Linked DNA regions of Macaca mulatta. The protein of the gene in region 1 purifies or fractionates together with the protein of each later gene. This does not show direct contact. Links are inferred from orthologs where the notes say so. Each region holds a gene or a part of one and is shown in the gene's direction. Other genes may lie near its edges.

Region 1 (4,546 bases):
TATACCTTTGTGAGAGCTTCTCAAATAATTAAACATGTCAGGGCATACATCATAATTTTCAGGCTAGAAAATGTCACGGCTATTATCTAAAGAAGAAGGAGTTCCTCCCAAAGAGGAGGGTCTGATCTTCCCCTAGAAAAAACTGCATAGGTGTAGAAAAAAGACTGTAATTCCACTGGCTCAGGGTGGAAGGAGAATAAAGCCTCGGGCGCTCTCATGTGTCTGTAAGAACTTCAATCCTTCTTTCATGGTTTATTTCCAAATGTCCTTTGCTCATGTTTCACTAAATATCTGCACTCCCACCAAGAACTGAGGCAGCCCGAGATGCGAGGTACCTCCCACCTCTGGACCCTATCTAGACCGCTGGGTTCCACTCTCCCCAGTTAAGACACAATGCTCCAGGAAGCCTCCCCTAATTCTAGGTCATAATGTATCACTTCACCCCTCGCACTCCCATCCAACTTCACTTACGTGATTTTCTCATGTATTTGGGATGTAACTCAAACGTCCTCAAGTCCCACAGCCTGTGGGTGCAAATGCAGTCATGTTAGCGATAATACCTGAATTATTATCTTGGTATCCTTTTTGCCCCAGGAACTCCACGGCTGTCTTCTTGTTACTGGCTCCAAAGCTAACAGTAAAACCCCTTCACACAAATCGTCCTTTGGCTACAGACCTCAAGGTCCGTGCCATCTCCGCAGGAACCCTCGTGGGGTTGGCGTGCACAGTCCCCTTCGCTGCGCGTGCATCCCTCTCCGCTGACAGCCACTGCTTTGAACTCCAGAGGTGTTAAATGGCTTGGGAACATAATTTCAAAATTGACAGTTGGATAAATACCAGAATAAGCACCAGAAGATGACAGCGGAACCAAGGCTCGAGATGGGCCGGCTGACACCACTGGGCGCTGAACCTGGCTGGAAGCTTCCTGGCAGCGACAGCGAAAAGGGAACACCTGTCGTGGGGGCCCTTGTTTCATGTCAGTAAGAAGTAGAGCAACTGCTAGACGCGCTCCAGAAAACCCTGGACGCACTTGATACATCCCAACCAGCAAGCTCAAGTACCCTGCGAACCTGGGCGCCCGCCACCCCCAGGGCAGGCAGCGAGGAGCTCTTCAAGGGGTAAAGCGACCCCTGTGGGGCCAGCGCCCGTCCTCTCTCCTGCTATCCGCGGGCACCCGGGCACGCGACGACTCGGCTGAATTAGGGCGTCCTGCAGCTCCCGGGGCGAGGAGGAGCTCGGCCTTTCTGTTCTGCCCTCAGAAGGGAGAGGAGAGGTGGTCCTGGAGTGGGAGTCAGTTCAGGCTGCGGGCTGTGCCACGCGCGGAGGTCCGGGGACCCCACCCCCGCCTCCCCGAGGCCCGCCCCGCCCCTTACGACCCGACCCTGCAATCCCTCTGCGCGGGCTTCCGGCCGCGGCGACCCCGGCCCGCGCTGTTGCGCTAGCTAGTTCGCTGCCAGAGGTCTCGAGGGCGGCGGGGCGGGGCTTCGGCGGCGGGGGCGGGGCCTCCAGCGGGCGGGCGGGGTTTTGGCGCCGCGAGGTGGCGGCAGCAGAGCGGCGCAGAAGGGAGGGGGCGGCTGGCCGCGCGGAAGGAGTGAGTCACCTGACCGCTGCCCTCGCCGCCCGCCAGGCGCTCTCGCTGCAGTCAGTCGGGCCGCGCCGCGCCTCAGCTCCGGTGAGTGGCTCGGCAGTCCCGCCGGCCCTTCTCCGGGAGGGTTGGCGCGGTCAGGGCCGCGGGCCTGTGAGGGGAGGCCCGCGGACAGGTCCGGGGGAGGCGCGGGCGGGCCGGGGGCGGCTCTTTCTGGGCTGGGCGGGGCGCGGGGGGCGCGTAGCGGGGCTCGCTGGGGGCGCTGGCGGCCGGGATTCTGGAAGTGGCCGCGACGCCGGAAGGGGCGTCCCGTTGGCGCCCGAACCCCCTGCACGGCAGGAGCTGTTGTTTACCCGCGCGCGCCGTACTTTACCCGGGGCGGGCGGGGACTAGGGGCCGCGGGGTCCCTGCCCCACCCCCGCTCCCCGCCCTCAGGCGCCAGCCCAGCCCCTCGCCCGCGGCCCGTCCGGGCTGTGACACATCAGCACCGCCCTCGCGGCTGGGGCCCCGTATTGTCCTCCGCCGCCTCCCACCGCTATGCCCAGCCTCGCGTCTACTCAGCCTGGTGCCTGTCGCGCGTGGAATCGCGTAAGAAAAGCCGAGTTTGTGCCTGGGGAGAGAAGGCCACCGTGCTGAGATGGATTTAGCGAAGACTGGTTTTGGGGACCGGAGATCCCAGGACTCCCTTTGTTGGAGTTTTGCCCACGCGTTGTAATTAAGCCTCGCACAATATGGTGAGAGTGGGCGTTGATTCTGGAGACACCAGCTTTGTGCTCGTGTAATGTAACACGAGTGCCGTTGCTTCCTCATTCTTACACGGCAGTTTCATGTCATTGAGTAGAATTGTGCGGAATGCTTTTATGGAGTGAGGCTTCTGCGTTAAACTTGTTTTGATTCCAGGTAAAGTGTAGTAGTAATTGTGAAAGAACGTGTATGGGGAAAACGAGCTACAGTGTCAGGCTTGGAGGAACAAAGAATGTTTTGTAGGATGCTTTGCTTTTTGGAAAATTGTATAGGGGTATGGACTGTTACCCATGGAGGATGCTATGGGAATTTGGTCACATATTTGAACACACTTTACATCAGAGGGTTTGTATTGAATGCAGTTCAGAAGGATAAAGGGTGGAAATCCCAGATGTGTTAGTGGCAGAGCACTTGAGCGCTTCACATAGCCAAGCAGAGAAATGGGAAGAGGCTTGCTTCTTCCTGGTCTTTGGGTAGTGGTGCAAGGGCTGGGCTGGGCTGGGCTTGGCTTGAAGGCACTTGCCACTTCTGCCTTTGGACATCTTAAGGAAGGTTAGGGAAGAAAGGCTCCTGGTGAGTCAGCTTGGAGTAGGGTGGCTTTGGTGTAGTGAATCTTGTATTGCTGTTTAACCTATGGTTCTGTCAAGTGGTTTACTATTGTTCAGTATGTTGGTTGATTAACAAGGTAGGATGACTCTTTAAAAAGTTGGGTTGCTGAGTCATTCGCCCCAGCTTGAGAGGTAATTAGAAACAGCTGGTGCAGATACTCATCACATGCCTCCACTATAAAAGGCCAAGGAGCGCTCTAGAGGGGTTGCTTCAGAAGGCTGAAGGGGACCCAGCTGGGGTTGTTTTGATCCAGTTTATCGGTGGGTGAAGTGGAAGAGCACTCTTAGGCAGTGGCCAATAGCACTGAGGCGGTGTTTAAACCCAGAGTCTCGTGACCTGCTGTCTGAGAAGAAATTTGCGCTGGAGAGAGCTGAAACTGGGGAAGAAATTTGCAGCTAGGGGTAACCCAATAAAAAATATTGTAACAAAAATATTTGCTACTCTTACTGGACTTAGTTTCCTTTTTGTGGTTTTTGTTACGTGGTCTATACATTTCAAGCAGTGAGCTTAATTTGTGCTTCATAAAAATTTGGTTATGAGTACACAGAGGGGACTTGCTGTTTCTCAAGACCCTTGGCTTTTCATGCATACACAAGAAGTTTCAGGAGTCAGAAGAGGGTAAGCACAGTATGGGTGGAATTAACAGGTCTCATTGGGTCAAGTCTGGAAAGAGCTGTTTAATGAATGGCCAACCATAAATACCTGTCTCATTGTCTTGATTGTGTGACACTACTGCCTTTACACCTGGTGTCATTGCTTCTTGCTTTAAAAAGGAGCACACAGCCCAAATATTTATGAATCCTCATTGCAAACAAAGTTTAGGAATGGGCAATGTAGAGCTGGGAATTTGACCCTTTGGTGGAAAAAATGATTCCTATTAATGATAGTTTATTTAAAACATTTTATATTAGGAAAAACTTTTTTATATATAAATATAAATTTTTATATTTATTTTGTTCCTTTATGTCTGGGACTAGAGGAGATTAGAAATTATGAATATTGTAAGTATTAGGGCCTCTAAGGTGGGGTACAAGGAGTTTCATGTGGAAACACTATATTAAAACTTTTAAAACCTTCTATTTAATATAAGAAAGACATTAAACTTAAAAATACAGACTAACAATAGCGCATTCATATTATATAATGCGCGTGCATGCCCTCCACCCGTTTGTTGTTGGGGGAACATAGCCTGTTAACCACTGTCAATAACATTCTTTCAGCAACCGGAATGCTTGTTCTTTTATGGTTTCCTCCTAAGAGTTCTTTCATACTGTCCTTAATATTCCATTTAAGTTTTATTTTATAGGTAGTTCTCTTGTCTGTATATTTTACTTTAAAGATTAGAAGTTTGAGTGTAAACTTCTTGTTACATTGTTGATATTGGGGATGGAAATACAAAAAATACAGAATTTCATTTGGTAACCTGTATTTTGAATTTGGAGACAAGCTCACTGGTTGGTTTGTTTAAATGTTTGTTATCTGAAGTGCAGTGAAATGTAAAAAGGTGCAATGGAAATACTCGAAGATGATCCACACATTGGAGTGTAGTATGTATATAGAGTGTAATATGTATATCACACATTCTGTAAAAATTACTTTGTACTGTCA
Region 2 (2,803 bases), on another chromosome or scaffold:
TCAGGTGATCTGCCCGCCTCAGCCTCCTAAGTGCTGGGATTACAGGCTTGAGCCACTGCACCCAGCCTATCTTCCTTCATTTTCCTTGGCTTCTTATTACTGCCCCCTCCCCTTGGAGACAGATGAGAAAACTCACGTTCACAAGGAATGGCGGAGTAGATCCTATCAGCTAGGGACAGAGCAGACTGCTGCTTTATAGGGGCCTTTGGGAGTTGGTCCCCTTCTCCAGCCCAGAGCAATGACCACTGACCCTCCACGAGTTTTATTCACCTTTGTCTCCCCATTACCAACTACATGTTTGGCAAAGAGTAGCTGCTCAATAAATAGTTGTTGAAGGAGCATGCGGCTGTCAGGCGTGTGGGAGGGGGGATTAGGAGATGAGAGGCCCTCAGTGGTCTAGGGATGGCTGCCCCATCTGCCTAGGGCATGCTGAGTTAGTGTGGGGCAGTCCCCAGGCAGCTGGGAAAGCTTTTCCAAAACAGAGGTCTAGATGAAGGAGGCCTGGGGAGAGAGGGGACTGGCTGATATTGTATCTTATGGGGTGCCGGATGGGCTTTGTAAAAAGGCATTTACTGGCAGGGTGCGGTGGTTCAAGCCTGTAATCCCAGCACTTTGGGAGGCCAAGACGGGTGGATCCTCGCACGAGGTCAGGAGATCAAGACCATCCTGGCTAACACGGTGAAACCCCGTCTCTACTAAAAAAATACAAAAAAACTAGCCGGGCGAGGTGGCGGGCGCCTGTAGTCCCAGCTACTTGGGAGGCTAAGGCAGGAGAATGGTGTAAACCCAGGAGGCGGAACTTGCAGTGAGCTGAGATCCGGCCACTGCACTCCAGTCTGGGCGACAGAGCGAGACTCTGTCTCAAAAAAAAAAAAAAAAAAAAAAAAAAAGAAGGCATTTACTGGTGCACATATGCTGTGTGTATTTTTCTGAATGTAGGTTATACTTTAAGAAAAGTTCTGAAAAATCAGCTGAGTACGGTGGCTCACACTGTAATCCCAACACTTTGGGAGGCCAAGGTGGGTGTATCACCTGAGGTCAGTAGTTTAAAACCAGCCTGGCCAAATGGCAAAACCCCATCTCTACTAAAAATACAAAAAAGTAGCTGGGCATGGTGACAGGCACCTGTAATCCCAGCTACTTGGGAGGCTGAGGCAGGAGAATCACTTGAACCCGGGAGGTGAGCCGAGATCGCACGACTGCATTCCTGCCTGGGCGACAGAGTAAGACTGTCTCAAAAAAAGAAAAAAAGTTCTGAAAAATCAAATCAAAGGCACATGACCAAGCCCCATGTGGAAGAATGGTCAGGAGAGGGACATCTGTTCATTTGGTGCACACTTACTGGGCCATCTACTATATACCAAGCACTTATTTAGGCATATTGATGCCATGGTGAGACAGGCAAGGCCTCTGCCTTCATGGGCTTCCGTTTTGGTGGAGGAGGAGTGGGAAGGAGAAACAAATCATAGATGAGGAACCAAGCACAAGAAATGCAGAAGAGGTGACTGTTACAAGGGTTAATAGGCAGGGTTATGTGATGTGACACAAAGAGGCGTTTAGCCGGAATGGTCAAAGAAGATCTCTTGAGGCGGTGACATTGGGCAAACACCTAAATGATGAGGAGTCACCATGGGGAGCTAGAACAGTAAAGAGAACAGCATGTGCACAGCTCCCGAGGCTGGAAGGAGCCATTCAAGGAGGCCTGTGGAGCAATGTGGAGAGAGGAAGGTGGCAGGTATGAATCAGTTCTAAGATAGCAGAGGCCTTGAATGGCAAGGTAGTGAGTTTGGATGTTATTCTAAATGGGAAAACAAAAACAAAACAAGGTGACTTTGACCTCCTTTCTACCCTAGGTCTGCGGCCCAGAAGGCACCTTCTGCAAACATGTCTGTGGATCCCCTATCCAGCAAAGCTCTAAAGGTAAGGAGGCAGCCTCTGTTAACCCATGAAGCCCTCCCTCCCTGCCCATGTAGAGCCTCGTCATCCCAACTTCCCCTTCTTTCCTGGAATCCCCTGGGTGGCTCAGCAGGCACCAGGCCTTCATGATGCCCAAGGGAAGGGCCACAGCCACAGGCTGGGACCAGGAGGCCTGGGCTCTGGTCACGGGCTGCATGTCCCTGGGGTAGGTCACTTCCCTCTCCATCCTCCTTCCCCATCGAGTCAATGCCCCCTGATGCATTCAAAGGTGCTTTCCGGGCTGGGTTTCTCTGGCTGAGTCCAGGGCTTGGCGCTAGGTTAGAATTCAGGTTGAGCCCGGGGTGGCATCCTTTTGTGTCCGGATCCTAGTTTGGCCTGGTTTCCCCTTCCCGGATTCCTGCTCCCCTTCAGGGTTTTGGATCAAGTCCAACCACCACCTCGGTGGCTAAGGCAGTGAAAGAGGAACACCGAGGTGTGGAGCGGTGCACCGTCCCCAGTCCCTGGGCCTCAGTTTCCCTATGCCCGCAGATCAAGCGAGAGCTGAGTGAGAACACGCCGCACCTGTCGGACGAGGCGCTGATGGGGCTGTCGGTGCGCGAGCTGAACCGGCACCTGCGCGGGCTCTCGGCCGAGGAGGTGACACGGCTCAAGCAGCGGCGCCGCACACTCAAAAACCGCGGCTACGCCGCCAGCTGCCGCGTGAAGCGCGTGTGCCAAAAGGAGGAGCTGCAGAAGCAGAAGTCGGAGCTGGAGCGCGAGGTGGACAAGCTGGCGCGCGAGAACGCCGCCATGCGCCTGGAGCTCGACGCGCTGCGCGGCAAGTGCGAGGCACTGCAGGGCTTCGCGCGCTCTGTGGCCGCAGCCCGCGGGCCCACCACGCTCGTGG
Region 3 (4,770 bases), about 17 Mb from region 1:
GAGATCGAGACCATCCTGGCTAACACGGCAAAACCCCGTCTCTATTTTAAAAAATACAAAAAAATTAGCCGGGCGTGGCAGTGGGCACCTGTAGTCCCAGCTACTGGGGAGGCTGAGGCAGAAGAATGGCGTGAACCCAGGAGGCGGAGCTTGCAGTGAGCTGAGATGGCACCACTGCACTCCAGCCTGGGCGACAGAGTGAGACTCTGTGTCAAAATAAAAAAATAAATAAATACAAATTAAAAAATTAAAAAGATAATATAACTGTGCGATTAGTAACAAAAGCCTACTATGGAAAGAATGCAGTTGGGTTAGAGCAGCGACACCATGAGTAACGTAAAGAGGAGACGCTCACAGCTTCTCTGGAGGCTCCCAGCGCATCCCAGAACCCCAAGTGCAAAGTGTGGGCCGGGACAAGGGAAGCAGCTTTCCCATCCCCCGGGGATGTCTTTCTGCAAACATCCTGGGGACGTGGGACATTGTCGCTACTGCTGCTATTTCTTGGCACCTGTTTCTGCAGCCAGGTTGCAGGCATCACTGTGTCTGGCTACCCCAGACGGCAGCGTGGGCCTCAGCAAGGAGGCGCCTCCCAGGTGGTCAGAAGTGGGGGTCAGAGATGGTCCGGGAGGCTGCCCCCTCGCTCCACAGCAAGAGGCCACTGGGCGGCTGCCTAAATCCCCAGGCACGCGGTGGTAAGGATGACACCCAGAAGATGCACAGACCTCCCTGTCCTTGCTCCTGAGTCCCACCTGAGCCGAGAAACAGGCTCCCGAGTCCCACCTGAGCCGAGAAAACAGGCTTCCCAGAACCCTGGGCAGATGCCGTGGGTGCCCTGGTTGGCCAGGCCTGAGACTCCTCTTCCCGCAGCGCTCAGAGGAGGGCGGGACTTGGGGACCCAGAAGCTTGGTAAGGGGCTCACCCTCCCCTCTGAGGGACTCTGGACGGGTCCCCACTCCAGCCTGTCCTCCACCTGCGACAAGAAGCAGAGGCAGCTCCCTCAGGGACCTGCTCCCACCTGAGGATCCCTCACAGGACTCCTTGGGCCAGTGGTGCCCTAACCCCATCCTGGGCCTGCTGTGGCCCCCTGGCAACCAGCAGCTGGGGCTTTAGAAGGGGGCTGGCCCCACTCACAGAAGCTGTGACCAGTAGCCGCTTATCCCCATTTTTACATTGCTGGTTTGCTTGTTTTGTTTTGTTTTTTGAGACAGGGTTTCACCTTGTCACCCAGGCTAGAGTGCAGTGATGAAATCATGGCTCACTGCAGCCTCCACCTTCCAGGTTCAAGCCATCCTCCTGCCTCAGCCTCCTGAGTAACTGGGACTACAGGCACATACCACCACGACCGACTACTTTTTGTAATTTTTTGTAGAGATGGGGGTCTCACTATGTTGTCCAGGCTGGTCTGGAATTCCTGGGCTCAAGCGATCCTCCTGCTTTGACCTCCCAGCGTGCTGGGATTACAGGCATGAGCCACTGTGCCCAGCTGGCCTTAATGTTTTTTATGTTTGTAGAGACGGGGAATGGGGGAAGGGAGGTTTCGCTATGTTGCCCAGACTGGTCTTGAACTGCTGGCCCACAGAGATCCTCCCGCCGGGCCTCCCAAAGCGCGGGAATTGCAGGTGCGGGCGGGGCCCGCGGACCCCCGGGCGGGAGAGGAGGGCGTGCCCGCGGGGGAGGGAGGGGGCGTGGCCCCAGGGGGGCGGGGCGGCGTGACGCGCGCGCCGCGGATCCCGGAAGCGGTGTCAGATGCTGGGGAGCCGGGCGGGCGGGCGCGGTGGCGGCGGGCGGCGGGGGGGAGTTGTTGTTCTTCGTGAAGTCGGAGCCCGAGCGCCAGGCGGCGGCGGCCGAGGGGAGCGCGAGAGTGAGCGCCGGCGCGAGGACAGCGCGTGCCCGCGAGGAGCCGCCGCGCGCCCGCGCCCTCCGCTCGACGCCAGGTGAGGGGCGGTGGAGCAGCGGGGACCGGGCCGCGGCGGGGACGGAGACCGGGACGCGGGGCTGGGGCCACCTGGCCGCTGAGTCACGGCCGCCCGGGGGCGCGGGCCGAGGGTGGCGGGGTTGGGTGCGCAGGGCCCGAGACCCCCATGCGGCCCCCTACGCGGCCCGCGCACCTGCCCCGTTGGGCCCAGCCCCGCAGGCCCAGGGGGCTTCCCCGGGACGCGAAGCTCTCTGCCCTGCACGTGCCGCCCGGGCCATGCTTCCTAAGCCCGGGGCCCTGGGGCGTGGACCCCAGACCTGGGAACACGGGAGTCCACGCGAGTCGGCGGCGCGCATTGTGCCCGCGCCTTCACACCTGCGGGGGGCGGGGCGGGCGCCACGTGCGGGCGGCGCGGGGAGGGCGCGGGCGCGTGGATTCCCCGTGCCTTCCGCCCCAGCGTGGCTTCCGCGTGCGGCCCCGGCCTGCCCCCCTCGCTTCCTCCCGGTGACGGGCGGCGCTGCGGCCCACGCGTGCCCGTGGACGGGGTGGGGGTAACCGAGTCTCCCTACAGGCAGGATCCTGGGACTGGTGTTGCTTTCAGCCGCCCACCTGCCAGGGTTGCTGGAAGGAAGGCCGTGGGGAGGCAGGAGGGGAGCAGGTGACAGGGGCCCCAAGGCGCGTGTCCCTTTGCTCACATGTGGGGCAGGGGCTCAGGCCTCTTCCCGCTCCCACTGCGTGGGTTCTTCTGTGTCTCTTGTCAAGTTCAGGAAACTGTGTTATGTGCTCGTGACGCTGTGTGTGTGTGTGTCTCTGTTTGCACACCCTCAAGATACTGGGGGGGTGGGTCGAGGCGCCGCGGAAAAACCCAGAAAGCCAGGACCCCGCCTGGCCTTGGCCCTTGACCTGGGTCCCCCTGGGGTACAGCAGTGGCCCTGTGCTGCATTCTCACCCTCACACCGTGTGTGTTCATGTTTGCGGGGCCTCCTGTGTCCCTCTCCCCGTGTCCTGCATCCCTGAGCATGCTGTTTCTTGCTGCTTAGGCGGCTCTTGTAGCTGAGGCAGAAATCAGATCCACCATTCATTCACCAGGTGACCCACAGGCAGCCAGCCACTCTCTGGCCAGGTGCCTGGCCTTGGGACGATCCTGGGACTCAAAACGCCCCCCACTGCGGGACACCGTGGACTAGGGGATATCACTGTGGTTCGGCTCCGGCACTGCCCTTCCCACCCCTCTGATTCTCCAGGGTGGGCTGCCAGGTCTCTACTGGCACTGAGGTTTCACTATCACAGTGTGTTGTTGTAAGGGGGTCTCCAACATGGAGTGGGATGCCCTGTGCAGCTTCTCCAAGCCCAGTGTCTTCAGAGATGTGGAGTATTGAAAGAGCTGTGGGCGGGGTCTGGAGAACATAGGTGGGCTGTGCAGGTGTCTGGGACACACCTACATCCTATTTGGGCGTCCAGTGCCGTTTAAGAGAACATCTCCCCTTCTTAGGTAACCCAGTAGGAATGTCTGAGTTTGACCTTGGGAGAGGGAGTCTGCTTTTTAAAACTAGACCTTTCATTATTCCAAAATAAGACATTTACTAAAGCAGAAAAACAAACCAGGTTTCTCCTGCCTTTTATCCTTGAGCTGAGCCAGGGCTTTGAGGGGCTGGTTCCCTACAGCATTGATTCCCCAGGTGCTGGTAAACCCGGGAGCCAGCGTTTACCAAGGGTTGGGGCTGTCGGGGCGCCAGCCTTTGTGCGCACCCGGGAGGCCGCTGTTAAGTGAGACCGTCTTCCGGGCCACTCTGCTGTCTACAAGGCGTGCGCTTTCACCCACGGGGCTCGGCGATGGCTGCGTTTGTTTACAGTCTCCAGCAAAGCTGTTTGCCACCCAGACCGAGAAGAAGTTGTGCCTGTTCCTGTCCCAGCTGTTTCTGAGTCTAAAGGTTTCTGGAGTGGACTTTCTGGGTTTCGGGTCCAGTCCACACGGGAAATGGAAATCTGGCCAGCTGGGAGAAGGCTCCGTGTGGCTGCCTTTCAACAGTAAACAGTGACTCACCGCTCCGTCCCCACCCTCCCTGCTCTCCGCGAATGGAAGATACCTTTCCCCGCTATTTATTTTTGCTTTTTATAAGTCACAGACTCCGTCATGTTTCCGCTTTCCTACAGTTTCAGGAAACTGGGAGTGTCGTCTTAAAATCATAGAGTTTTAGAGCAGGTACAAATGAACCTGAGAGGTCACACGCCCCACCCCGACCGGCCGCTGTAGATGAGGAAACCCAGGCCGTGACGTCTGCTGGCCCGTCCCAAGGGCCGGTGGGGTCTGGTGTAGAACCTGCCTGCTTGTTCGCACTGCGCGTCGGGCGTCCTGGGGAAGGTATTGGGGTGGAGACTGCCCTCTCGCTGCCCTCCCGTGCGGGGCCGGCTCATCTCGTACAGTGGGAGGCTCGTATGGGGTGTAGGGAAGACATGCTCCCTGCTTGCGAGGAGCTCACCACACCACGGGGAGGGCCCCGTCCCCAGAAGGATCTAGAACCAGGCCTTGGTAGAGGGTGCTTGCCTACGCAAGGAGAGCAGTGGGGAGCGTTTCTGGAAGAAGCAGGGCTTGAGGGGGGCAGGGGGCCACGTGCTCTCTGCAGATGGGGGTGATCAGAAACCTGAAACGGTGTTGGGGTGAGGGGGTCGGGGTTTGGGAGGAACCCCAAAACTTTTGACTGCCTGTGGGGCTGCGTGGGGGGCACCAGGATCAGGGTGAGGGCATCCCTTTGGCAAAGCTGTGGTCCACACTGGAGAAGCTGGAGGCCGGAGCCTGGGCAGGTGCTGCGGGTTCGGGCGGGAGATGCTTGAGGGCTGGGATCAAGCCCGGTTGG
Region 4 (3,989 bases), on another chromosome or scaffold:
ACAGGGCGTTTCCACCATGACAGAAATTTCTATTGAACAGTACTGACCTAAAGAACCCATTTACTTTCCTAGCAATGCTAAGCAGCTCACTGTGAACTTTGCTTCTCTGCCGTCTTTTCTGTTTCCGTTGCTAACCAACTCTTTTTCTCATGGATATATTCTTTCGATATATTAAAATCTTTCATTTGATTACAGTCGAATGTTGGCTTTTGACCAAGAGTATGTCAGAGTAACTGTAGATGTCTGCTCAGTTGCTCTGATTGTTTTATATGTATTCTAATCATGTTAGCTATCATTTTATTGAGGATACATGTAGGGGTTGATATTTAATCACTGAGGAATAATCACTGAGTCTCAGTCAGATAGCTGGTGAGTGAGTGGTAAAGCCAGGATTAGAACTAATAATTTATATCAGTGACTTCATTCGGTGTAGAATTTTAGGGTGGCAGGTTTCCCCCCATGACATTAAAAATATCATTTCATTTCATTGTCTTTTGGCTTCCACATTTTCTGTGGACAAATATTGGTCTGGGGGGGTTTTGTTGTTTTGTTTTGTTTTTTAAATCTGGTAATAGCAGCAAGAATGATGGCTTGCCAATGCCTAGTACATTCTCCTCAGAAGCCCAGCTCTGCCTTCTTGAAATAAAAAAACATTTAGTATTTTAAGCTAATTTGAATTTGTGTAATTGAAGCTACAGAAAATAACTATTATAGGTGGAAATGCCTTAAACGTGAATAAATAGCAGCCGGGCACAGTGGCTCATGCCTCTAATCCCAGCACTTTGGGAGGTTGACGCGGGTGGATCTCGAGGTCAGGAGATCGAGGCCATCCTGGCTAACACAGTAAAACCCCGTCTCTACTAAAAATACAAAAAAGTTGCCGGGCGTGGTGGGGGGCGCCTGTAGTCCCAGCTACTCGGGAGGCTGAGGCAGGAAAATTGCTTGAACCCAGGAGGCGGAGCTTGTAGTGAGCCGAGATGCTGCCACCACACTCCAGCCTGGGCAACAGAGCAAGACTCCATCTCAAAAAAAAAAAAAGTGAATAAATAGCTTAATTATACTTGGAATTTATGGCAACTAAAGTTCTTCTGTTCTTAAAATGCATTAAGACTTTTAAGATGCATCATAGGTAAATATGATTATTCAGATAGCTAGTAACATTAGAATATCTACAAGCATAATGTCAAAATCAGAGATTTTTCCAGAAACTTTCGGGGTGATTATTCGTAATCATTTATTCTCACCTTGTTTTTGTCCAGATTCGTGTTCTTCTACAGGAACGTGGTGCCCAGGACAGGCGGATCCAGGATCTGGAAACTGAGTTGGAAAAGATGGAAGCAAGGCTGAACGCTGCACTCAGGGAAAAAACGTCTCTCTCTGCAAATAATGCTACACTGGAGAAACAACTTATTGAATTGACCAGGACTAATGAACTACTAAAATCTAAGGTATCTGAGCCTCATGATAACATTTACAGTTGAATAAATATAAACATGTTTTTTCGGGCTGGGCGCAGTGGCTTACGGCTGTAATCCCAGCATTTTGGGAGGCCAAGGCGGGTGGATCACCTGAGGTTGGGAGCTCAAGATCACCCTGACCAACGTGGAGAAACCCCGTCTCTACTAAAAATACAAAAATTAGCGAGGCACATTGGCGGGCACCTGTAATCTCAGCTACTCTGGAGACTGAGGCAGAAGAATCGCTTGAACCCAGGAGGTGGAGATTACAGTGAGCTGAGATGGTGCCATTGCACTCCAGCCTAGGCAGGAGAGTGAGACTCCGTCTCAAAAAAACAAAACAAAACAAAGTATACCAGGCAATTCAGATTTATTTTGTTAAGCAAACATGTTTCAAGAAATCCTTTCTCAGGGACTTGCTTTAGAATCTTGCAATGCACTTTCCAGCACACAGAGGTAAGTGACCACCCAAACAACCTTTCAAAACTAAACCAGCAGGCCAGGCATAGTGGCTCACACCTGTAATCCCAGCACTTTGGGAAGCTGAGACGGATGGATCACTTGAGGTCAGGAGTTCGAGACTAGCCTAGCCTAACATGGCGAAACCCCATCTTTACTAAAAATACAAAAATTAGCCAGGTATGGTGGCACACACCTGTAATTCCAGCTACTCAGGAGGCTGAGGCATGAGAATCGCTTGAACCCGGGAAGTGGAAGTTGCAGTGAGCAACACGGCACTCCAGCCTGGGTGACAGAGTAAGACTCTGTCTCATAAAAATAAAATCAAAACAAACCAGCAAGTCATATTAAGGAAAAGAGAGATAAGAACAGTAGACCGGTGCAGTGGCTCATGCCTGTATTTCCAGCATTTTGGAAGGCTGAGGGCTGGAGAATTGCTTGAGGCCAGGAATTTGAGACCAGCCTGGGCAAAATATCAAGACCCCATCTCTATAAACAACTTGAAAAATTAGCTAGGCATGGTGGTGGTGCACACCAGTAATCCTAGCTACTCAGGAAGATGAGGCAGGAGGATTGAGTCCAGGAGTTTGAGATTATAGTGAGCTATGATCATGCCACGCCACTCTAGCCTGGACAGCGAAGCGAGACTTGATCTCTTAAAAACAAAAGAAAAAAAAAATCAATCAGTAATTATGGTGTAGGTCAAAGACTGTTCTCTCTACCAAAGCATATTACAGTCAAAAACATAACCCCAGTGATAGGTAGAAAAATCAATACTTGTGTATTTTAAATATATCTTAGCAGAAAATATTTCTGAATTTTTTATGTGTTTGTTGTACTTAGTTTTCTGAAAATGGTAACCAGAAGAATTTGAGAATTCTAAGCTTGGAGTTGATGAAACTTAGAAACAAAAGAGAAACAAAGATGAGGGTGAGTGCTGCCTTTGGCAGGTTTGCTGTGTCTGGATCTGGGGATCAGTACAATTTTCTCATTTCCTAAAACACGTATCTTTGTTGTGTAGGGTATGATGGCTAAGCAAGAAGGCATGGAGATGAAGCTGCAGGTCACCCAAAGAAGTCTCGAAGAGTCTCAGGGGAAAATAGCCCAACTGGAGGGAAAACTGTAAGTGACTGAATGTGAAGAGAACTTGTTAAGTGGAAGCAATTCTTGATTTGACTCTCTTCACAAATTATTGTTTACTGAGACTTCAGACTTCTCTTAGTACTTATCTCATTGCCTCCCTCCAGTTGCCCTATTTCTTTTTTTAAATGAGAATGAGCCCTAATCATTCTCAAACATGTGCTAGAAAGTTGTATGAGTGCATTACTTTTGTACATCTTCTGTATTAATGATGAGGAAAGGTTTCATGATCTTATGAAAGTGGTCATTAGATTGAAACGGAAAAACACTGGTATAGGAAGTTGTGATTTATGCACAATCATAGGCTTTGATTTTGAGCTTTAATTTACATATAATAAAATGTGTGGATAGTAAGTGTTCAGTTTGGTGACTTTAGCAGTTGTATACACCTATGTAACCATTACCAAACAAGATAGAGAACATTTTCATCCCTTCAGAATGTTCTTTCACACCCCTTCTTGTCTCCCTGCTACTGCCTGTGCCATGTCCCCATCCCCACAACTACTTTCTCACTTACATCATCATAAATTAGCTTTGCCTTTTTTTATTTATTATCATTATTATTGTTATTATTATTATTTTAGAGATGGGGCATTGCTGTGTTACTCAGGCTGGTCTCAAACTCCTGGACTTAAGTGATACCACCCTGACCTTCCAGAGTGCTGGAGATAGAGACATGGCCGCTATACCTGTCCAGTTTTGCCTTTTTTTAGGACATGCAAGAGAGAAAGAGCATGTGTGTGTGTGTGGCTTCTTTTGTTTGATGTAATTTTTCAAGATTCATCCAATCTGTTCCGTGTACTATAATTTTTCCTATTTTATTTCTGAGTAGTGGTTCACCCTATGAATATACCTCCATCTCTTTACTCTCCTTTTGATCATTATTTGGGCTGTTGCCAGTTTCTGCCATTGAAAAGACTGCTGTGAACATGT
Region 5 (3,989 bases), on another chromosome or scaffold:
CTTAGAAAACAAGGAAAGATAGATTACTGTGTGTGTTTGTGATCTGAATGAATTAATTCATTATTTTTACATTTTCAGTGTCAGTGAGAAAGGGATTAAGTCCAATACTAGAAAAAATGTAAAGGCTGTGATAGCGGCCTTACTAGTTGCAATTTAATTTATTTGAGAAGAGTCAAAATCTAGGTCTTAGAGATATAAGAATAGGTATACCGGACCTAGGAGTTCTATATGTGGTTTAATATTAGCAAAAGGGTGTTGGGATCTTAGGGCTTAAAAATAATAGTGTTGGCTGGGTGCAGTAGCTTACACTTTTAATCCCAGCACTTTGGGAGGCTAAGTTGGGAGGATTGCTTGAGCCAGGAGTTCAAGACCAGCCTGGATTTGTAGATACGGTCTCTACAAAAACTTTTTAAAAAATTAGCTGGGTGTCATGGCACATGCCTGTGGTTCCAGCTATTTGGGAGGTGCTGAGACTGATTGAGCCTAGGAGGTGGAGGCCGCAATATGCTGTGATCATACTACTGCACTCTAGCCTGGACAGAGTGAGACCTTGTCTCAAAAATAATAATAATAAAATATAAATGTCTTTTGTTGTTTTATGAAATGCAAACTGATCATCCCTTTTTAAATTTGCAGATGCTTCCTTTAAATACCAATATTCGACTTGCGTACTCAAATGGAAAAGATGATGAACAGAACTTCATTCAAAATCTCAGTTTGTTTCTCTGCACCTTTCTTAAGGAACATGATCAACTTATAGAAAAAAGATTAAATCTCAGGGAAACTCTTATGGAGGTAAGCTGTGTGGAGCCTTTGCTCCTAAAATTCTGCTCTACCTACTAATAACTCTTAAAAGTGCCTTTTTTCAAAAATGTATGTACCTTTTGAGATTTCTTATTACTTAATACTTGACCTGTGCATGATATATATTCTTAATTCCGAATTACAGTCATAAGCCCAGTTTTCTGATTTTATGTTCTCCATAAAGCCTAGGACTAAACATTTATAATCAAAATTAAATTACTAATTATTATATCATTTCTAAGGTTAAAATTCCAAAGACCTTATTTTAAAATTTCACTTTTAATTCAAATAACATTTGTTCATTTAAAGATACACAATTCAGCGTGTAATCCCAGCACTTTGGGAGGCAGAGGCAGGAGTTCGAGACCAACCTGGCCTACATGGTGAAACTCCATCTGTATTAAAAATACAAAAAAATTAGCTGGGCGTGGTGTCACGTGCCTGTAATCCCAGCTACTCAGGAGGCTGAGGCACGAGAATTGCTTGAGCCCAGGAGACTGAGGTTGCAGTGAGCCAAGATCACAGTACTGCACTCCAGCCTGGGTGACAGAGCAAGATTCTGTCTGAAGGAAGAAAATATATATATATATATATATATATATATAACATAAATATATACACACACACACTCTTCAGTGGTGTATTAGTATATACCACTGAATATACTAATATTATATCACCATTAATGTTATACCACCATTAATGTTATACCACCATTAATACCTAGATCCAAAACATTTTCATCACTCAAAGATGACCCTTTACCTATAAAACAGTCACTTTCTCCTTTGTTCTCTCCCCAACTTCTGGCAACCATTATTTTGGTTTCTGTCTCTGTAGATGTATCTATTCTGATTATACCATATAAAGGAAATCATACATGTGACCTTTTTGTGTCTGGTTTCTTTTATTTGGCATTGTGTTTTCAATGTTCTTCCATGTTGTAACCTGTATCAATACCTCACTTTTTATCATGGCTGAGTAATATTTTCATTGTAAGAATATTCCGTATTTTGTTTGTTCTCTCCTCTGTAATGGTACATTTGTGTTGTTGATACCACTTGCCTATTGGCACTCAAGGCCTTTTAAATAAATGTCATTCCGTTAGGAGACATGATAAAAATACATATTGATCAACAACTATGTGAGAGATTTTTGAAGTGCTTTAGGGCATGTCAGAAGAAGCAGAGTTATTCCAGAGTTTACTGTCTGATAAGTATTGAAATCTGAGTTGTGATGAATAAAACATGAATTTTTATTTTCCCTTAAGGTGTAATAAGTGAAAAGCAATTTGAAGTTGGTAATGTTTAAGAATTATTTTTTAATAGTTTTGGTCTTCTCTGTAGGCCCTTCATTATATGTTGTTGGTATCTGAAGTAGAAGAAACTGAAATCTTTAAAATTTGTCTTGAATACTGGAATCATTTGGCTGCTGAACTCTATAGAGAGAGTCCATTCTCTACATCTGCCTCTCCGTTGCTATCTGGAAGTCAACATTTTGATGTTCCTCCCAGGAGACAGCTATATTTGCCCATGTTATTCAAGGTAACAGAGTGGTTGGTTGAGTGTTCTTCCTGTTGCTTGCTGTGGTTTTGAGGTCTGAATGCAAATACTTCTAATCTATCTAAATAAATTAGCTACGAAAAGAGAGCCCAACAACTTCTCCATGAGTGTGGAAAACTAGAACATGAAAGGAATTGAGTCTAGAACCTTGGTTCTCTTTTTTTTTTTTTTTTTTTTTTTTGAGACAGAGTCTCACGCTGTCGCCCAGGCTGGAGTGCAGTCGCGCGATCTCGGCTCACTGCAAGCTCCGCCTCCCGGGTTCCCGCCATTCTCCTGCCTCAGCTTCCTGAGTAGCTGGGACTACAGGCGCCCGCCACCGCGCCCGGCTAATTTTTTGTATTTTTAGTAGAGACGGGGTTTCACTGTGGTCTCGATCTCCTGACCTTGTGATCCGCCCGCCTCGGCCTCCCAAAGTGCTGGGATTACAGGCTTGAGCCACCGCGCCCGGCCGAACCTTGGTTCTCAAGAGTGTGATCCTTCTCTCAGTATCAACGTCGCTTGTGATTTTGTTAGGCAAAATTCATTGGCCACCTGCCAATCTACTGAACCAGAGTCTAGAAGTGAGACACAGGAAACTCCTGTAACAAAAGTTGGCTTTAAAAAAAATCACATTAAAACACACTTAAATAATTGTAAAGCCATTTTTGTAGAATTACAGTGAAAAATTTTCTTCTGTTGGAGACAGGGTCTTGCTCTGTGGCTCAGGTTGGAGTGCAGTGGCATGGTCATAGCTCACTACAATCTTGAAATCCTAGGCTGAAGCAATTCTCTTGCGTCAGCATCCCAAGTAACTGGTTGCAGGCACGCACCACCATCCCCAGCTAATTTTAAATTTTTTAGTTTTACTTTATATTTACATAGTTTTTTCTGTTGTGCTTTAAGCCCCAGTATTTTTATTGTTTTAGAGATTGGGTGTCGCTGTGTTGCTCAGGCTCCTCTCAAATTCCTGGCCACAACAGGTCTAGAAAGAATTGCCTCCAGAATAGTTAGAATTATAGGCATGAATCCCTTCACATGGCTGGCCTGTGGGTTTTTTTGGTTTTGTTTTTAACTAAGCTTCTACACTAATGATTTCAGTGATCTAATGATTTTTTCTTGATTGATTTATTGCTGAATATAGGTCCGTTTATTAATGGTTAGTCGAATGGCTAAACCAGAGGAAGTATTGGTTGTAGAGAATGATCAAGGAGAAGTTGTGAGAGAATTCATGAAGGATACAGATTCCATAAATTTGTATAAGAATATGAGGGAAACATTAGGTAAGTTAATAAATACTGTTAATCTTTACCTTTATAAATTTATTCTGGGGTAGAAATATATTTTAGAAAATGTACTGTAGTTTCTAAATATTTTCTAAACATGGTATTCATTGGTAAAACTCTTTGCTCATTATTTGCATTTGAAACAATTTTTTTTTCGTAGTTTATCTTACTCATCTGGATTATGTAGATACAGAAAGAATAATGACAGAGAAGCTTCACAATCAAGTGAATGGTACAGAGTGGTCGTGGAAAAATTTGAATACATTGTGTTGGGCAATAGGCTCCATTAGTGGAGCAATGCATGAAGAGGATGAAAAACGATTTCTTGTTACTGTTATAAAGGTATGCAAGGGATAGGTAT
Region 6 (4,692 bases), on another chromosome or scaffold:
GCAACCTCTCACATTTATGACGCACTTTTCATTTACATAAGAAAGATGAGGACTGAAAATTGATTGTTGGATTTAGCTCTGTGGAACTCATGATGAACCTGACAAGAGGTTTTGGTAAAGAAGTGAGGGTTTTAGCCTGATTGAAGAGGGCTGGAAAGGAACTGGAGACAGCAGGTATAGACAACTGGTTTGAGGGTTTCTTTTTCTTTTCTTTTCTTTTTTTTTTTGAGACAGGGTCTTACTCTGTCACCCAGGCTGGAGTGCAGTGGTGTGATCATAATTCACTACAGCCTCAAACTCCTGGGCTTAACTGATCCCTTGCCTCAGCCTTCCCAGTGGCTGGGACCAACAGGAGCACTGCCATGCACTAAGAGTTAGGCGCACCACCATGCCCAGCTGACTTTTGTATTTTTTTGTAGAGACAGGATCTCACTATGTTGCCCAGGCTGGTCTCAAACTCCTGGGCTCAAGTGATCCTCTTCCCTTGGCCTCCCACAGTGCTGGGATTACAGGTGCAAGTCACCATGGCCAGCCACATCTGAGATTTTATGCTGCAAAAGTAAGAAGAGAGATGGGGAGCTTTAGAGGAATGTAGAGTCAAAAGAGGGTTGTTTTAAGACGAAAAATATTTCAGCATGCGTGTAGGTTGATAGAAATGAATCAGTAAAGAGGGAAGCTGATGTTCCAGGAGAAAGAAGAAGGTTGCTGGAGTGATGCTGGTGAGTAGTAGAGGGGCTGGAAGTGCCCAGGCAGAGGGGTTGGGGTTGGATGGGCACAGGCGCAGTTCATCAATGCCCAGTATATGGGCAGCGATGGAGACAGGAAGGTAGACTAGATGGGCGCACGTGGACGTTCCCTTCTCACTGCTTCTGTGTTCTCGGTGACATAGGAGGCAAGCTGTCAGAGAGGAAAAGGTAGAGAGAATGAGGGAAATGTGGCCTACCAGGCAGTTTTTTTGTTTTGTTTTGTTTTGTTTTGTTTTTGATGGAGTTTCGCTCTTGTCGCCCAGGCTGGAGTGCAGTGGTGTGATCTGGACTCACTGCAACCTCCTCTCCCCGCATTCAAGTGATTCTCCTGCCTCAGCCTCCCGAGCATCTGGGATTACAGGCGTACATCAAGATGCCCGGCTAATTTTCGTATTTTTAGTAGAGACGGGGTTTCACCGTGTTGGTCAGGCTGGTCTCAAACTCCTGACTTCAGGTGATCCGCCCTCCTAGGCCTCCTAAAATGCTGGGACTACAGGCGTGAGCCACTGCGCGCCCGGCCTCCTAGCAGGTAGTCTTACAGATTATGAATGTAAAACATGACCAGTCAGTAAGCATGGTTATGCTCTTTTTGTTTTTTTCTCCAGCCCTGTAGGGCTGCCGGGGTGCAGGTGCAAAGTAGGATACAACCAGGGTTGGTTGGAGTTTTACAAGGCAAAAACTGATGAAATGAGAGAAGACTACCCGAGGGTGTAAGCAAAGGAGCGGTCCTAATATGATGAGCCGGTATTTTTTTAATGAATGAATACGTGGTTAAAGGCAGGGGATAAAGACGATATGTTTGGCCATACCAAAGCTCTGAGAGCCTAGGAGCAGCGTGGCCAACGTGTCTGGGAGCCGGCACCTGCCTCTCCTCACTGCCTAGGCCTGACTGTCCCTGGCCTTGTAGGGCCGCACTGGGGGGCGGCCGGCAGGGGGCGCCCTGGGATGGCCAGGAGCCCGGCTCTCCCCGCTCTGTCCCTGCTCTGCGGCCCGCCTCGCCCCTGCAAGTTTAAATTCGGCTTAGCAACCCCAGCATCGCAGCCAATAACGCATGAGGGGGCGGAACCGTAGAGGCTTGCGCCCCGCCTCGCTCCGCTATTGGAAGGAATGCAGCCAATGGGAGAGTCGAGGCGGGGAGGTGCGGCCAATGGCGCGGGCCTGTTTGATTCAAAGGTTGCCTATAAAGTGGGCCTGCAGGCTGGTTCTTGTCCGAGGGCTGTCGCGTCCGAGTGCCGCTATGGCTCTGCTGTGCGAGGGCCTGGACGAACTGCCGGCTGCCTGCCTGTCTCCGTGCGGGCCGCCCAACCCGGCCGAGCTGTTCAGCGAGTCACGGCGCCTGGCTCTGGAGGAGCTGGTGGCCGGCGGCCCCGAAGCCTTCGCGGCCTTCCTGCGACGCGAGCGCCTGGCTCGCTTCCTGAACCCCGATGAGGTGCACGCCATCCTGCGCGCGGCGGAGAGGCCAGGAGAGGAGGGCGCGGCGGCGGCGGCCGAGGACTCGTTCGGCTCCTCGCATGACTGCTCGTCTGGCACCTACTTCCCCGAGCAGTCGGACCTGGAGCCGCCGCTGCTGGAGCTCGGCTGGCCCGCCTTCTACCAGGGCGCCTACCGCGGCGCCACGCGCGTCGAGGCCCACTTCCAGCCCCGCGGCACGGGCGAGGGCGGCCCCTACGGCTGCAAGGACGCTCTGCGCCAGCAGCTCCGCTCGGCGCGAGAGGTGAGCGGCCCTCCCGGGCTCTGGGTCGCACGGGAGACCCCCTTCAAGAATGGGAAATTGAGGCCTGCGGGGAGCACAGGCCGGGGCGACTACCTCCTCAGCTCCCTACCGGAAGCGCGGGCCACGGGGTCCCGGGGTCCCCGACTCACACCCCACTCTGCGTGTCTTCCCCGGATCCCCCGGGCCGCTCCTGGTGGCAGGGGATAGTGGGGAAGCCTCGGTTCCCAAGGATAAGAATTGTGTCCGGGTTCCATCTCCTAACGTTCATATCCCTGAAGGAGGGACCAGAAGTACTCCCAGCTCCAAATTTCAGTTGAAATCAAACTTGGAAAATTGCCGATTTCCCTGGCTGTCAGCCAACGCTACATCCCACTTTCAGGAGCTTCTTAGGAGACTCATTACCAAAGAACTTACCTAGGGAAAGTTCCAGGAAGGTGGTCTCCAGAGACAACTACGGGGCATTAGGAATCAATTATTATTGCTAATTACTTTCACGCATCTTATGTTGTAAAAAGCAGATAAACACAAGTGGCAAAGTGAGACCCCTGCCGCTTTTTCTTTCTTGTCTTTTTTTTTTTTTTTTCTTTGAGACAGAGTCTCACTCTTTTGCCCAGGCTGGAGTGAAGTGGTGGGAACTCAGTTCACCGCAACCTCCGTCCCCGGGTTCAAGTGATTCTCCTGCCTCAGCCTCCCAAGTAGCTCGGATTACAGGCGCCTGCCACCACTCCCGGCTAGTTTTTGTATTTTTAGTAGAGACAGGGTTTCGCCATGTTGGCCAAGCTGGTCTCGAACTCCTGACCTCAGGTGATCCACCCTCCTCGGCCTCCCAAAGTGCTAGGATTAAGGCGTGAGCCACTGCGCCCGGCCCCCTGCCGCTTTTTCTACTGCCAGAGACTGGAGGGGAAATTTGCCGTTGTGAATGAAAGGGGCAAGGAGTTTTCCATAGGCTGGGTCTGTGCCAGATTGCAGTGGTCTCCTAAAATGCAGATACATTTGCATTAGATCGGCTTCTGTTTTGGTCCTACTGTCTGACTCAGTATGGCATGGTCATGGGCGCAGTGGAGGTCTTGTCTGCTTGCCAGCCTCAATGAAGCTGCAGCAGGGTGTTGGGGATCAAGGAGGAAGAAGGCAGCCTGCATGTGGGTGTGGCAGAACAGTATGGTGGCAGACACCTTGGTCTGGAACCATGGTCAGGTTGCTTGCTGACTGGCAGTGCCCGGCTTCCTGGCTGTCTGCCTGTGCCAGGGACATGGCAGATAAAGCCCCAGCCATGGTAAGACTTGCGAGGGCTGGTACATGAGTGTGTCTGACTGTGGGTGAAGATACCAGTGCATTGTCAGGTTGACATGTCCAAGTCCAAGCCCCAATTCTCACCAATGTTCTTAATATTCTTTCCCTGAATGGTGGGGTTGCAGTGGTAGTGGATACAGTGACCTAGTGCCTTGCTTTTGAGGGAGTGGTTGTGGGCTGCAGCTAGGCTTTTACCAGCCCTGAGGTGCTTTAGGTGGGCTGAGGGTTTTTTGATGCAGTAGACATTTTCCTTGCGGGTTCAGTGAGAAGATTAAAAAGATGGAAAAGGCAGACTTGTGTAGGTATGCGTTCCCAAAGCTCACCTCCAGTAGAACTTGAGCACTTGGAACCTGAAAAATGTAAAGAACTGGTCTATATAGTGAGAGCTGTGGATTGTTCTAGTCTTTTGCCCATCTCAAAATTTTAGTGATAGCAAAGGGGCACTGGAACCAGAGGCCAGAGGGAAATTAAACTCACGTGCTGGCCTGAGGAGGGGATGGAGCCGGGAGCTCAGACTCTCCCTCATCCCATGGGCGTTTTGTAATACTGACATTTCCAGATAGAACCTGCTGCCCTAGTCTAGCTACCCACAGTTCCCTCTGAGATGCTATATTTGGAACGTGGGCAGTTTAAACTGAGAAAGTTACCTTTAAATCCGATGAGTATTGGCTGGATACGGTGGTCAAGCCTGTAATCCCAGCACTTGGGGAGGCTGAGGTGGACGGATCACGAGGTCAGCAGTTCGAGACCAGTCTGGCCAACATGGTGAAACCCCATCTCTACTAAAAATACAAAAATTAGCAGGGCGTGGTGGCACGCACCTATAATCCTAGTTACTCGGGAGGCTGAGGCAGGAGAATTGCTTGAACCTGGGAGGTGGAGGTTGCAGTGAGCCGAGATTGCGCCATTGGACTCCAGCTCTGGGCGACAGAGCACGACTCC
Region 7 (4,635 bases), on another chromosome or scaffold:
AGGCTGTCTCTGCTCTGCGTGTGTCCGTGTATCCGGGTTTGCCAGAGGCCGGGCCAGGAGCCTGGAAGCACTGGCTGTGCTCAGGCCTGCCCCTCCCCCGCCCCAGGCACACCTTTGATTAGGAGGCGATGGGTTGCGCTTGTGCTGAGTTCAGGCCTTCTGCGGAGGGCAGAATCTGTCGAGGAGGCACTTTTCCGTGTGATCTCTTCAGGAAGTCACCGCTGTCATTGTGCTTAGCAGCAGGCGTGGGGGCGATGGGGGTGGGAGAAGCTGGGGCCACGGCAGTGTCTCTGCACCCTGACTCAAGGCTGGGGGCCTGTCTCCTGAGGCAGTGTCCTGCCAGATGTGTAGGAAAGAGCTCCTGTGGGCCTTCTGACCTCCAGCTCAGGTCTTCCCCATCCTTTATTTGGAAGAATCCAGTGGCTGGAGTCTTGGGACCTTGCTTCTGAGCTGGCTTGACTGTGGAGAGGGGTCTCTGGCCTCCCCTCCCTGCTCTGGGCTTGCAGCCTCACGTCCTGGTCCAAGGCTGGGTGAAGTGGAGTCTTGACCCTGGTGAGAGTAAGAAGCCCCCCAGCCCATAATCTCCTGAAATGCTCCTGGCTGCTCTGGAGGAGACTCCCATCTGTCTGCATCAAACCTGGAAAGTGGGGGATGGAGCATGGGGTGGGGTCCATGCCCAAGGGTCTGGTGGGAGCTGGACTGAGCTGGGAATCCCAGATGGGTTTCTGGGATGAGGTGCACAGAAATATCCGTAGCAAGAAAGTGAGAGCGGAGTGCTAGAGGGACCCGAGTGGGTGAGAGTTGATTGTTTAGTCCAGCCTCCCCAGCACTTTTGTTTTTGCTCCCTGACCCTGTGGGAATTGACCCGGGGCAGGGACCAGAGAGCAGGCTGCCACTCGGAGGGGCCGACTCCACCAGCCTTCAGTTGGGCAGGCCCCGGGGTGGCTCACTGTGGGAGCCCTTGTGAAATACCCTGGATGGGGTGGGGCAGGGGCTGCTTCCTGCAACCCAAAGCCACAGGATGGTTACTCCATCAGTGGAGGAGGCAGACTGGGAGGGCCGGAGGGGCCTCGGGCCAGGCTCCTCCCAGCTGATGGCCTGCCACCTGGAAGGTGGGGGAACTCCCTGGTCAGTCCTGCCAACAGACCAAAGCTAGATGGACGGCCCACCCTCAGCTTCTCAAAGTTAGGAGACTGGGAGACTCAGGGTTCCCTACAGCCTCCTCTCTGGGTAGGTCCCCAGTGGGGCCCCTGTGCACCCAGGGAGCAGGGGGCTTTGTCCCAGGCCAGCTCAGGGGAGGTGGTTGTAGGAGGTAGGACCCTGGAAGATGCACGCACAGGGTCACTGGCTGGCCCTCACCTGCTATTGGTCAGGCTGGCCTTTCTGGCCCCCAGCAGCTCGGCTGCGGCTCTCCTGGGGCGCTGTTGGCTGGCGGGCCCAGGGAGTGCGGGCGCGGCGGGGGAGCGGGAGGCAATGTGCTGAGTCAGCGTGACTCGCCAGGAACAGCCGTGCTCTGGGGCAGTGCTGGGGTTATTTTTAAAGCTCCCGGCTTCCTTCTAGGCCTGCCTCTCCCGCGTCTTATTCCTTCTAATCTCTCCCCCGCCCCTTGTCTTGCGCCTGCCTCCCTAACAGCCTTCAGTTCCCCTTCTCCCATCAGACCTTCCTGACCTCCCACCTGGTTCTCTGAGGGTAGGGTGGACAGGAAGCAGCTCAGCCTAGCCTGGGAGAGGCCAAGGGCTGCCTCCGATCAGGTATTGGGGGCTGGGCACCTGGGCTGGGGGCTGGGCACCTGGGCAGCAGGCTGGGGTGGGCTGTGCGGCAAGGGCTCTGTGAACTGGGGTGGGGGGCGAGGGTGGTCTCCAGGGTACTGACCTCTGCTCCATGTCTTGCAGAGAGCGCCTGCTCGCTGTGCCCCCGGGTTATGACGACCCCCAATAAAGGAAACAAGGCCTTGAAGGTGAGTGGGCAGGGACAGGAGCCTTCAGGCCCGGGGTTGGGGGGCACAGTGGGCATGCCCGCTTGGCCTGTGACCCTGTGCCCTGTGCCCCAGGTGAAGCGGGAGCCGGGTGAGAATGGCACCAGCCTGACGGATGAGGAGCTGGTGACCATGTCGGTGCGGGAGCTGAACCAGCACCTGCGTGGCCTGTCCAAGGAGGAGATCGTCCAGCTGAAGCAGCGCCGGCGCACGCTCAAGAACCGCGGCTACGCTGCCAGCTGCCGCGTGAAGCGGGTGACGCAGAAGGAGGAGCTGGAGAAGCAGAAGGCGGAGCTGCAGCAGGAGGTGGAGAAGCTGGCCTCAGAGAACGCCAGCATGAAGCTGGAGCTCGACGCACTGCGCTCCAAGTACGAGGCGCTGCAAACCTTCGCCCGGACGGTGGCCCGCAGCCCCGTGGCGCCCGCCCGGGGCCCCCTTGCCGCCGGCCTGGGGCCCCTCGTCCCAGGCAAGGTGGCCGCCACCAGCGTCATCACAATAGTAAAGTCCAAGACGGATGCCCGATCGTAGGGACGCGCGTCTACCCAGGCGGGTCTTTGCGGGGCCACTAGGCACATGGCGAATTCGGCTGCCCTGTCCCTCTGTTTCCTTCTCTTCTCTTTCCTCCCTCTCTTCCCCGCCCTTCTCTCTTCCCTGCAAAGCACAACCTGTACCCCAGGGGCGCCGGGCTGAGCCCCTTTGATCTCGTCATTGTCGTCGTGTGTTTTGTATGTTGGGATTGGTCAGTTCGGCGGTGACGTGGGGTCGCGCCAACCCCTTTTGTACCAGGGCCATGCAGTCTTGGAGTCCAGAGTTGGTGCTGTGGGAATGGACTTGAGAGAGTTGCGGGAGAGAGAAGGAGAAGGCACGCTGGGCCTCACGTGTCCCCGAGCAGTGAGGGTTCCAGTGTGCCCTCCACTCCCGAGTGGCCACAGGCTTGTGGGCTGGGAAGGATTCACTCTCTTTAGCCCCAGGAGGGCAGCTCAGCTTAGCCCAGCACAAAGAGATGGGCTCTGCTCTGAGAGTAGGGCTGCCTTGAAGGCCCTGATGGGTGGACCACCAGCCTGGGCACAGTGGTGCTGGGGGCGTGCAGTTGGGGCCAAGGGCTGTGCGCTCAGGCCTGACCCGTTGCACTGAACAAGACCAAATCGCTGGCTGTGCACTTACGTGAGGGTGAGTCCAGTGTGCCCTGCGATGGGTCCCGTGTCACTGTTTACATGACCTATTTGTGTGGTTATATAGCCCTTTATTTAAAAGAGAGAAGTTCCTTTTACAAAGTTATTAAATTAATTATATGTTTAAAAGTTAAAGAAAAAAAGAGCTGCAGAGTATTTATAAAACTGTCTTTTAGAAAAAAAAAAAACAAGCAAGAAGACCATTTGACCATATAAATGGAAAAGGGAAGAAAGTATAATAGAAACTTTGCTAGTTAAAAAAAAAAGAAAAAAAAAATCCCTTTCTTGTAAACTTACGGACAACTCTTTGTGGCTGTTGGAGTTTAGTTTTTATATACACAGAGTTATCAGACATTATTTATAAAACTTAGTTTAAAAAAAGACAAAAAAAAAAAAAGCCAAGCCGTGAGCCGACCAGAAGGCCGTCCTCTTTGATATCTTTTGCAATTGTACCGAAAGTGACTTACTCCTCTGCCCTTCCTGCTTCCGTCTCTTGCCGGTGCCGTGGTGTCGTCCGTGCCTGGTGAGGTTTTGTGCAGCGGTAAAGTGCTGGTGCTTCTGGTGACCTTCGACCTGTGGGTGTCACTTCTTGTGTCAGTTTTCCTGTGTTCGTTTTTTGGGTTTCGTTGTGCTTTTGCTTCTGCTGGCTTGCCGGACCTGGGCTGGGGTGCCAGGTGGCACCTGCTGCGTCAGAGCTCAACGAGTCTGTGCCCTCCACCTGCTCCTGGTCCCTAGGAGGTGAGACGTGGGGTTCTGTCACACTCCCCCCCGACTGAGCCTTGGCTACATCTGTGTCTAGGGCTTGGGCTGATCTGGTGGCTGGGTAGCTGAAACTGGGGGCCCCTTGGGGCCCCCCCACACTGCTCTACACCCACCACCTCTGGCCTTGGGTGGTGGTGGTGCAGGGACCAAGGAGTCACTGTGGGTGGCCACAGGGCTGTGGCCAAGCGTTCCCTGGCTGTCTTCCTCAGGCCTCAGTTTTGTTCCGATAGGCTTCATGTGGGGCCTCAGCCGGGGAACCCCCGGGGCCCGCACCGTGGGCTGCAGGTTTCGCCGCCTACTTGATCCCTGAGGTCTTTCCATGCTGCGGGTGGTGCTTCCAGGCAGAGTGGTTGGGGGCCCACCGGGCAACCCTTTCTTCCTTGTCCCTGCCTCACTCAGAGTCTTGGGAGCGTCCACCAGTGCAGACAAGGGCTACAGTCTCCAGGGCCGGTCTTGTCCCTCTTCTCCGCTGGTCCACGCTGGCAGCTCTTGGCTTTGGGCCTGCCTTCTGCCTCCCTTTGGGATCTGTCTTCCAGGGATCAGCTGCTTGGCTTCTGCTGGAGGTGCCTCCCTCTGGGGGCCCAACCTGCCTCCTGCTCCCAGTTCCTCACCAGAGGCTGCTGCCCTTCCTGGCTGGGCTCAGGAGGCTCCTTATAGGCATATGACGGGGAAGGGTTGCCCCCACCCACCTCCAAGAGGCTGCAGCCCCGTGTCTGGCCATGTGAG

The links.
Region 2: the proteins of BACH1 (region 1) and MAFF purify together in Homo sapiens (affinity purification with mass spectrometry; 3 studies listed by BioGRID and IntAct, counting the BioPlex papers as one, with this or other methods). This does not show direct contact. The link is inferred for Macaca mulatta from reciprocal best matches to the Homo sapiens genes BACH1 and MAFF.
Region 3: the proteins of BACH1 (region 1) and MAFK purify together in Homo sapiens (affinity purification with mass spectrometry; 6 studies listed by BioGRID and IntAct, counting the BioPlex papers as one, with this or other methods). This does not show direct contact. The link is inferred for Macaca mulatta from reciprocal best matches to the Homo sapiens genes BACH1 and MAFK.
Region 4: the proteins of BACH1 (region 1) and HMMR purify together in Homo sapiens (affinity purification with mass spectrometry; 6 studies listed by BioGRID and IntAct, counting the BioPlex papers as one, with this or other methods). This does not show direct contact. The link is inferred for Macaca mulatta from reciprocal best matches to the Homo sapiens genes BACH1 and HMMR.
Region 5: the proteins of BACH1 (region 1) and XPO1 purify together in Homo sapiens (affinity purification with western blotting; 3 studies listed by BioGRID, with this or other methods). This does not show direct contact. The link is inferred for Macaca mulatta from reciprocal best matches to the Homo sapiens genes BACH1 and XPO1.
Region 6: the proteins of BACH1 (region 1) and FAM83D purify together in Homo sapiens (co-immunoprecipitation; 3 studies listed by BioGRID and IntAct, counting the BioPlex papers as one, with this or other methods). This does not show direct contact. The link is inferred for Macaca mulatta from reciprocal best matches to the Homo sapiens genes BACH1 and FAM83D.
Region 7: the proteins of BACH1 (region 1) and MAFG purify together in Homo sapiens (affinity purification with mass spectrometry; 5 studies listed by BioGRID and IntAct, counting the BioPlex papers as one, with this or other methods). This does not show direct contact. The link is inferred for Macaca mulatta from reciprocal best matches to the Homo sapiens genes BACH1 and MAFG.

Annotation. Positions count from the first base shown.
Region 1 is NC_133408.1:18,196,733-18,201,278, reverse strand, and holds the start of BACH1 (transcription regulator protein BACH1), read left to right. Parts: upstream 1-1,626; 5' UTR 1,627-1,672; intron 1,673-1,800; exon of another isoform or gene 1,801-2,485; intron 2,486-4,546. UniProt on the Homo sapiens protein: Transcriptional regulator that acts as a repressor or activator, depending on the context. Binds to NF-E2 DNA binding sites. Plays important roles in coordinating transcription activation and repression by MAFK.
Region 2 is NC_133415.1:13,279,053-13,281,855, reverse strand, and holds part of MAFF (transcription factor MafF), read left to right. Parts: intron 1-1,853; 5' UTR 1,854-1,884; coding exon 1,885-1,920; intron 1,921-2,445; coding exon 2,446-2,803. UniProt on the Homo sapiens protein: Since they lack a putative transactivation domain, the small Mafs behave as transcriptional repressors when they dimerize among themselves.
Region 3 is NC_133408.1:35,469,618-35,474,387, forward strand, and holds the start of MAFK (transcription factor MafK), read left to right. Parts: upstream 1-1,674; 5' UTR 1,675-1,934; intron 1,935-4,172; exon of another isoform or gene 4,173-4,277; intron 4,278-4,429; exon of another isoform or gene 4,430-4,489; intron 4,490-4,608; exon of another isoform or gene 4,609-4,770. UniProt on the Homo sapiens protein: Since they lack a putative transactivation domain, the small Mafs behave as transcriptional repressors when they dimerize among themselves.
Region 4 is NC_133411.1:172,289,538-172,293,526, forward strand, and holds part of HMMR (hyaluronan mediated motility receptor), read left to right. Parts: intron 1-1,259; coding exon 1,260-1,448; intron 1,449-2,759; coding exon 2,760-2,846; intron 2,847-2,937; coding exon 2,938-3,038; intron 3,039-3,989. UniProt on the Homo sapiens protein: Receptor for hyaluronic acid (HA). Involved in cell motility. When hyaluronan binds to HMMR, the phosphorylation of a number of proteins, including PTK2/FAK1 occurs.
Region 5 is NC_133418.1:63,238,734-63,242,722, forward strand, and holds part of XPO1 (exportin-1), read left to right. Parts: intron 1-636; coding exon 637-795; intron 796-2,150; coding exon 2,151-2,348; intron 2,349-3,486; coding exon 3,487-3,625; intron 3,626-3,788; coding exon 3,789-3,970; intron 3,971-3,989. UniProt on the Homo sapiens protein: Mediates the nuclear export of cellular proteins (cargos) bearing a leucine-rich nuclear export signal (NES) and of RNAs.
Region 6 is NC_133415.1:91,796,505-91,801,196, forward strand, and holds the start of FAM83D (protein FAM83D), read left to right. Parts: upstream 1-1,757; 5' UTR 1,758-1,797; coding exon 1,798-2,460; intron 2,461-4,692.
Region 7 is NC_133421.1:91,584,171-91,588,805, reverse strand, and holds MAFG (transcription factor MafG), read left to right. Parts: upstream 1-1,571; 5' UTR 1,572-1,751; intron 1,752-1,892; 5' UTR 1,893-1,921; coding exon 1,922-1,957; intron 1,958-2,050; coding exon 2,051-2,503; 3' UTR 2,504-3,967; downstream 3,968-4,635. UniProt on the Homo sapiens protein: Since they lack a putative transactivation domain, the small Mafs behave as transcriptional repressors when they dimerize among themselves.